2 linked regions of the Oryzias latipes genome follow. The protein of the gene in region 1 interacts with the protein of each later gene in a pairwise test. Links are inferred from orthologs where the notes say so. Each region holds a gene or a part of one and is shown on either strand. Other genes may lie near its edges. The genes, in order: atp10b and tmem30a.

Region 1 (3,824 bases):
CAGCATATTTCTTTTATTTGGGCTTGTGTTGTGATTCATTTTTTTCCACCTGTGTTGCAGATTGTAAGCAGCAGAGAGTATCAAAGCTGGTTGGCAGACAGAAAGAGAGCTCTTGCAGCTATAGACGGCAGAGAGGAGCTTATGATGGCCAGTGCTGTGCAGTTGGAGACAGAACTCACCCTGCTAGGTAAATCAGACACTTTTTTCCCCAACACAACTAACTCTGCAACCAGGACACACAAAGTAAACCTTCTTTAGGTTTAAATACCCACTTTGAAGAAAATTGTGCTTTTGCTGTTTTTAACATGATGATTAACAGATGGATAAAGGGAAAGCGGGGCGGTTTAACTCTGCACAAACAGTCCCGTCAACAACTCTGAGGTGAATTTCGAAACTATGTCCTAGAAAATGACAGTTTTTTAAAATTTTGGCTAAAAATGGCATAACTAAATTTAAAAGACCACTAGGGACACTTTTACAAGAGATCGAAATTGGCAGATACTTTGTTGTTTTGGAGCTTTAAAGTTTTGCATTAACTCAATTCCATCAAGAAAAGATGCTGCACATCAATTCAGAAAGAATCATGAAAAAACTTCTGAACTGTTCAAATATCCTTTTTTTCATGAAAGATTTCATGATTAAAAAAAACTGTTAAAGACCAGCTTTGAGCAGCCCTGCAAAATGACTCAGAACAAACCATATTCAGAGAAGTTAAAACAAAGCTACCTCCATCCATCCATCCATCCATTTGTAATCTATCCATTCGTCCATCTTCAGATCAGGCTGAATCCCTTTTGAAGACACATGCTTGCTGGTTACTGTTGGGCGAAAGGAGGGTACGCTGTGACCAAGTTGCCAGTCTATTGCAGGGTCACACTATCACAAACACATCTAGGGGCAATTTAGAGTCACCAATTAATCTACAAAGCCTTAGTGTTTGGAGAAAACCCACGCATGCACAGGGAGAACGTGCAAACTCCACACAGAAAGGCAACGGCTGGGATTCAACAAGGGACTTCTCCAAGGCGAAACCACTGCTCTACCTAGCCAACAAAACTACTTCTGAAACCTAAAGATTAGTTAAAGCTTCAGATAACTCTTAGAACCTTAACCTCCACAGAAGGAACGTTAAAACAAGCAACCACCTCTTGTTTCGATAAATTGACAATACAAAGACTCAGTCTTTAAAAATAGAACATTGCAGTGATGATTATGTATGCAGTGCTGCATCTGAACCTAAACAAAGTCTCACCAGGTTTAGCTTCAAGCAAATGCAGCATATAAATCTGATTAGTTCACAGAAAACGGTTTTGCACATGACGATTTCCAGTAATTTTGGTTGTCCAAGATTTTACTTTTCAAACTTGTTAAAAACCGGATTGTGCTCCATTTTAACATCCTACAAATACAAGTTTACTATGTTCCATTAAATGACCTTATTGAGGAAATAAAATGGGATTTTTCACCTTCATCAGGAGCAACAGGTATCGAGGATCGCCTGCAAGAAAGCGTCCCAGACACCATCACAGCTCTGCGGGAAGCAGGGATCAAAGTGTGGGTGCTGACAGGTGACAAGCCAGAGACTGCTCTCAACATCGGCTACGCCTGCAGGTTAATGGAGGAGGGAGACCTGGTGATTAACATGAGCTGCAAAAACAAGGTGGGGACGCTCACTTATTGTTGGGCATGGTGTGTTTTAACAAAAAAAGGAGAAACTTTTCCAGTCTTGAAGTACTGAATGTGGGCTAAAGGGGAGTTGGATTTTACCTTCAAGTGAAGACTACTCAAGCTCTCCTGTCCTAATATGGTGAAACAATATAAAACCTAAAAAAGAAGCTCATCTGTTTTGCTCAGAACCAAACCAATGCAAATCATCTCTCTGCTGAGATTACTGACTGCAGATCCTTAACAAGGCAGATGTGACATATGTTCCTAACATTTAAGGATTCTTTGAATTATCTTTTAAGGTATTTTTACAAAACACAGATCATCTTTCTTTTTATTCAGTTTTGTGAAAAGATTAAAAAAAAAAAAATTTAAAAACTAATAATTGGACTAAAAGTGGATTTGGGGTTCAACATATCCTTACATGGACAGTCAATGTATTGTTGGTCACATGGATGCTCAATTAAAAAAAAAAAAATCAATTAAAATATAACCGTTATTTGAATGGAAAGTGTTACTTTAACTCTGGAAACACACCAAGAAAACTGACAAGTACAAGTTAGGGGAATTGAAACTTGTTTCTGTCAGGTTTTCTCCTTCTGGATTTGCATTCAAAAAACAATAAATGAAATCTAACATCCAATTAAAGACGGGAATATTTTATAATATTTGTGAAAAAGGAAAGCTCTGATTAGCAACTGAAAAGACTCATTAAAAGATGTTAAAATATTCATGATCAAGGCTAAAATAACAAACCAAATAATAAGTAATGCTACAAAAATATTTCTCCTATAAGATTTGATTTTGGCCAAAGATTGATCAAGAATTTAGTTAAAATTACATGTGAATTGATTCTATTTTGCGAAATAGCTTGAACTAATTTCAAACAAAAAACAGCAAACACATTTAGAAACTGTCACCATAGAAAAGTTGAAAATTAAGTCAGAGTTTAGCCTTTTTGAAGACATTACCGTAAATGAAAATAGTTGAAATGTCACTTCTATGTCTTCTCATTTAAGAAAGCAATGCTGTCTTTTCCTGGTGGTCTTTGGTGAAAAGCGGTGTGCTTTCCGAGCATCTACCTTCTAATTTAAAGGACTGAAACCTTTCGAACCACTTTTCACAATTTAACTAAAGGTCAAACGCTCACATTTCCATCAGGGGAAGATGAAAAATGTTCGTTGGGGGACCTGCCTCTCTGAGGTCATTAAAGATCTGGTAGCGCCGGAGCAAGGTTTTCATAAAAACCCGACTGTGTCTACTCATCCTGACGTCAAATGGCTGCCAGCTCTGACGGATACCCCAATAAGTTTTTGAAATGAGGGGGCCGCTGCGCATCCTTTAGAGGCACAGTGACTGATGATGAATGGAGTTAGATGCCCCCAACCCAATAACTAGTGCTTTCATATCTAATTACCAGTGTAATATTTAGATCTCACAGGAAATTTACTTTAATGAACAGGATTTTTAACAACCTTAGCTGATAACCACTTGTGACATTTACTTATAAGCACTGCCCCACTAAGTGTAATGAAATTTAGCCAGGACTGAGCTGCTTGTAGGAGAAAGTATAAACATGGATCTTCCTTTTTTTCAATTTAATTTCCTTGTAACCCAGTTTGAAGCCGTTTAGCATCAACAATAAATCTGATGGGCCTGCTTCTGCAAAAGATAGAGAAATCTTTGGACTCTTAGACCTGCAAGACAAAAAAAAGATGCAAATATTGAACTTTTACATTTTATCATAACATTTTTTTATTAAGAAGAACTTTTAGCTGATTTTTTTTTTTTTTTTACTGAGTATGTTTTATTAGGTTTTACCTGCTTTAGGCATCCCGTGCTATTTTGTGTTTTTTCTTTGGTTTCATTTTGTTTTAACATTGTGAAGCACCTTGTAAGTTGCTTTCTGAGGGAAGTGCTATATAAAAGAAGTTCTTTCTTACACTCTTGTGCAAATTTATTTATAAAGTTCACATTACTTATTACTGGGGGGAAAAAACAGATTTTTTACATCTTATTTTAGGTTTCAACATTAAAACTAAAAGTGGAACATCTTGGAAGTTTTCTTTAACTTTAGGGGGGACAAACGTTTGTTGTGTTACTTCAAAAAGTATATTTTAGAAACCTAATTGTAAAAGTTTTATTGAAATTTTAGGAAA
Region 2 (4,524 bases), on another chromosome or scaffold:
ACCTTTGGTTTTAGTGTATTTATACTTGTGCAGCACTTTGGATGTCTGGCAGATGTTAAAGTGCTATATAAATAAAGATTGATTGATTGATTGATTGATTGATTGATTGAACATCATGCTGGTGGATCAAGTTTCAGACCCTTTCAGGGTCAAACTCATAGATTTTGGTTTGGCAGAGAAAATTAGACATATGCGTAGTGGAGCTACGATACAGAACATTTGCTACAGGGCAACTGAAGTCATCCTGGGTCTGCCCTTAGACCAACATGTAGATTTGTGGACAGTTGGCTACATTCTCTTTGTGCTGTACACGGGGACCTTTATTTATGGATGGGACACCGATTATAACATCATCCGAGCCATGGTGAAGATGCAAGGCATGCCCGAGGAAAAAGTTCTAAACCAAGGGTTTTACACCACAAGGTTTTTTACCAAGACCAAAGAAAACTCTCAGGATGTCTGGAAGCTGGACACACCCCAACAGCAAAGCAGGAAAAAAGGGAGACTGGTCGAAGACGACATTCAGTTCTTGTCCTGTGACCAACTCATCCACAGCTGTTTGGACAAAACAAAAATCAAAGAAGTGGAACAGTTAGTGGACCTGCTCAAGCGGATGCTAATGGTGGATCCAAGCAAACGCATCTCTCCAAGTGAAGCACTACAACATCCATTCTTCACGATGGGGAGGGTGCAGCCCACTGCTGACACTCACACCACCAACCCTGAAGAGCCACCAGCAGTGGAGGTCCACCTACAGCCTGAAGCAAAAGAGGTCACCAATCCTCCAAGACCAGCTGCTGTTTCCCAGGAATGTTTCAGAATGAAAAAGAAACCATGCAGGATTAATTTATTATTATTTATAATTGATTTATTATTATTATTATTATAATTATTGACTTATTATGAATATACTGTTATTATTTATTATTATTATTGACTTATTGTTGGGCTTTTCTAAAGAATTGAAAATTACATGTCAAAGAGGTCTAAAACTTCTAGTACATGCTTTAAAATTATTTTTAAAAATTCTTTGTAATTGTTTTTTGTAAGAAGTCCTGCTACTGTGCATTTTTCATTAAAGTTTGAGCTTTTAATGCTGCCTGTTTCTCTTATTTAACAACAACAAATTATTTTATGTATGTATATAAATGATATACATATATATTATATATTTATATAAATGTATAAATATATATAAACATAAATATATATATAAATTATATATAAGCTACTTAGATGCCACCAAAGGCTATAGAATGTGGGCGCCGTCGACCTCACCAAGATGGCGTCGCGCTCCACCACCGTCGGCCAGGCTTCCCAAGCGGGCGTGTCTCCTCTAGCGTTATAACTCATTGAGTTTGACACCCCTGCTCTAGAGTGCTCCTCTCGGCTACACCAAACATTCTCCGGTGACGTCACTGCCACGTAGCGCCGTTCTATTGGGCCAGCAGCTTCCGGTTTCTTCCCAGCCAGGATTAACGAAAGTTGTCAGATCGATACAAATATGAGTCGGCACTTTGACTAGACGGGGGGATAAGTTCAGTTACCGGAAGACTTCTTAGGTTCTTGTTCCACTTTTTTCTTCGCGTCCGAGATCCCCGCCTAGCTCCCAGCTGCCAAGTGTCGGGATTGTTTTGCTCGAAGCGGTTAGCGAACCATGATGGCGTCAAGCTACAACGCTAAGGAAGAGGACGGCCACCACTCTGGCTCTTCGAGTCACGGTGGACCAGGAGCAATCAAAAGCAAAAAACCGGACAATACAGCATTCAAACAGCAAAGGCTACCCGCTTGGCAGCCGATTCTGACGGCGGGCACCGTACTGCCGGCGTTCTTCGTCATCGGCCTCATCTTCATCCCCATCGGCATCGGGCTGTTTGTGACTTCAAACAACATCAAAGAGTTCGAGGTACCGTTTCCTAGTCGAGTTGGATCGTTAAAAGATCTACATGTCAATCATTCCAAATGCAACCAGTACTTCAGCTGTCAACACTTTCAAAGAAGAGCAGCTAATTGTGTCGCATTAATTAAATGTTGTCACATTTGTTTTTAAAGTAAAAAAAAAACCTCACATTCACATTATTTGAACAATTTGGGGTCATAAACATAAATTATTTTGGTGAGCTTCTGCTGTCTTGATATTTTGCAATGCATTGTGGGTAACTTTGTATCCAGTAATGTGGAAGTGTTCAAGTATGCAGTGGTATAAAAGGCTTATAGACTGTTGAAAAAAGGAGGTTAATTGACACGTAGGTGTCTATATATATATATATATATATATATATATATATATATATATTATAATGTGTGTAAAATGTAATATGTTTTGATTACATCAATCACATTGTGTCCCAATGGATTCTTGACAGTCATGACTGAAACATGCTATGTGCTTGATAAGAAGTCTATTAAAAGTTCCAGCACAATTTTGTTCTCTTGTCTTGTCATTAAAGATTGTTCTCTTGTTTTTGTTTAGATTGACTACACTGGTGTCGAGATTGATAGTCCATGTTACATATGTGCTAAGAACTTCAGCTGGAACAGCACAACATCATGCGTCTGTTCTGTGAACTTCACTTTGGACCAACCCTTTGAGGTTAGTTCTGGTTATTTTGTTACTAAATGAGCTTTATTCATCAAATGAATTATTCATGTCTTCAGCCGTATCACCGTGTGTCCCAGACACAAAGTACCCATTTGGATCTATTTAAGGTCCAAACTAGAAGGTTGTCGTTGAATGATGTTCTTATAAATTATGCATTCTGGGTTTTTAGCAAATCTCTATTGATCTTTCAAAAAAAGCTTTAAAGCTGTTTGATTTTTTTTTACACCTGCCAGGAAGATGCACTCAAATAAATACACTTTGGAAACCATTCTTTTTTTTTTTTTTTTTTTGCTGTGAAAATAAAAGCCCAAATCATTTGAAATTAGCTTAGCATTGACCGCTGTCTGCGGTGAATCAGGAAAAAAAGTGTGTGGAAGACCTTTTTCTATAACTTTTTGCTAAAATAATTTATTATAATAATAGTTAATAAAATGAAATATATATTTTTAATGATCAAAATGCTCCTTTTTTTTAACTTTTCAAGACATCTTCTTCCTGTTTTTAAACAGCAGCTCATTGACACAACTCCTGCAGAGTTGTCATGTATTTGCATGTCAGCATTTTTTGCATCTATTTGCTTTTGCAAAACAAGTGGAACAAAAAAAATCTGACAGCTAAGGAAGTGATTGACTTTTTTCTTCTTCTAGTTTTACAAAAGACATTTCTACTCAACAAGATCTATATTTATCTATATTTTATTTATATTTATCTATATTTTTATCTATATTTCAGTGCAGTAAACAGTTATTGGGAGTGGGGGGGGGGGCACAAAAGTGTACATATTCCAAGTCAAATCTGTGCGGTGTTGTAATTAAGATGAATTAAAATGAGTCAGCTGTTTCCTTTCTAAACATAAAGCTAAAAAAAATCCTGTGCTTTGATCATCTAATTGTCTTTATTTCTGTACCGTCTGCCAGTTATTGAAGTGGTTGGGATTCTTTGTGGCCTTTTAATGGCTGCCTGAGCAGAGCTGATGCCTCTTAGCGGAGCATGCTCTGCAGCGGACAGGAGAGCGGTGGAGTGCCAAAAGGCCATCGACAGATTCTCTCCTCTTTTCTGAGTGCTGTACTTTCAGGCAGTGCGGTCTCCAGCGGGCCCTGCTGTTGTACTTTATAGGATAGTTTACGTGGCTGTGGAAAGTCTGTAAAGATTCACTCTGAAAGTTGTTTTCATCTTTAACATGTATTTGGAGGACAGGTATTAAGAAAATTAAGTTCAAAATTGCATTTTGGAGTATTTCTTTATTCAAATCTTTGTGAACTTTATCGCTAAAAGAGCCCTTTGGACACGATACCATCGTGATGGCTGACTGACATCACGATGGAGAGACACCATGATGCCACGCCTCCGCCACGCTGCAAGTCGACGGCAAAAGCCGCGGTTACATGTGCAAAATATCTTGATCGGATCAATGGTCGGATTAGACTTCAACCGTGTACGTGGGCCCAGAATAACCTTTCTGATTATAACAAACATTAATGGTCACACTTTAGGTCAGAATAAATCCTTCGCACATGTGCAGTAGTGTTTGAAATGCTGGAAAAGGAAATGAGTTCCGCTGAGAGGCTACATACATAGATATCTGGCAGCTCCGTAATGTACTAGATGATCTTCTAAACATGCTTTCATTAATATTACGGTTATTATGAAGCCCCTGTTCGCTCATTTTAATTGAAATCCGTGTGGTCAGTGCTTTATCTGTTGAAGAACGGAGCTGGAAGAAGCCAGGGTTAGGAGAGGCTAACACATGCTAACAACATTAGCTTTGTTTAATGAACAGAAAATCCATGCGGGAAACGCTTTAATTTGCATCCTGGCTGAACGTAAATATGTGGGCATAACATCAGCCTTTATTTTGTCGGGACACGACTGGAAACCCAAATCCACGTGATTGTTTGAACGGTTTCTAAGGACTGAGCGAC

What was found.
Region 2: the proteins of atp10b (region 1) and tmem30a interact in a protein complementation assay, tested with the Homo sapiens proteins (2 studies listed by IntAct, with this or other methods). The link is inferred for Oryzias latipes from reciprocal best matches to the Homo sapiens genes ATP10B and TMEM30A.

What each region holds. Positions count from the first base shown.
Region 1 is NC_019868.2:17,520,739-17,524,562, reverse strand, and holds part of atp10b (probable phospholipid-transporting ATPase VB), read left to right. Parts: intron 1-60; coding exon 61-187; intron 188-1,475; coding exon 1,476-1,660; intron 1,661-3,824. UniProt on the Homo sapiens protein: Catalytic component of a P4-ATPase flippase complex, which catalyzes the hydrolysis of ATP coupled to the transport of glucosylceramide (GlcCer) from the outer to the inner leaflet of lysosome membranes.
Region 2 is NC_019880.2:15,986,311-15,990,834, reverse strand, and holds the start of tmem30a (cell cycle control protein 50A), read left to right. Parts: upstream 1-1,430; 5' UTR 1,431-1,657; coding exon 1,658-1,906; intron 1,907-2,473; coding exon 2,474-2,593; intron 2,594-4,524. UniProt on the Homo sapiens protein: Accessory component of a P4-ATPase flippase complex which catalyzes the hydrolysis of ATP coupled to the transport of aminophospholipids from the outer to the inner leaflet of various membranes and ensures the maintenance of asymmetric distribution of phospholipids.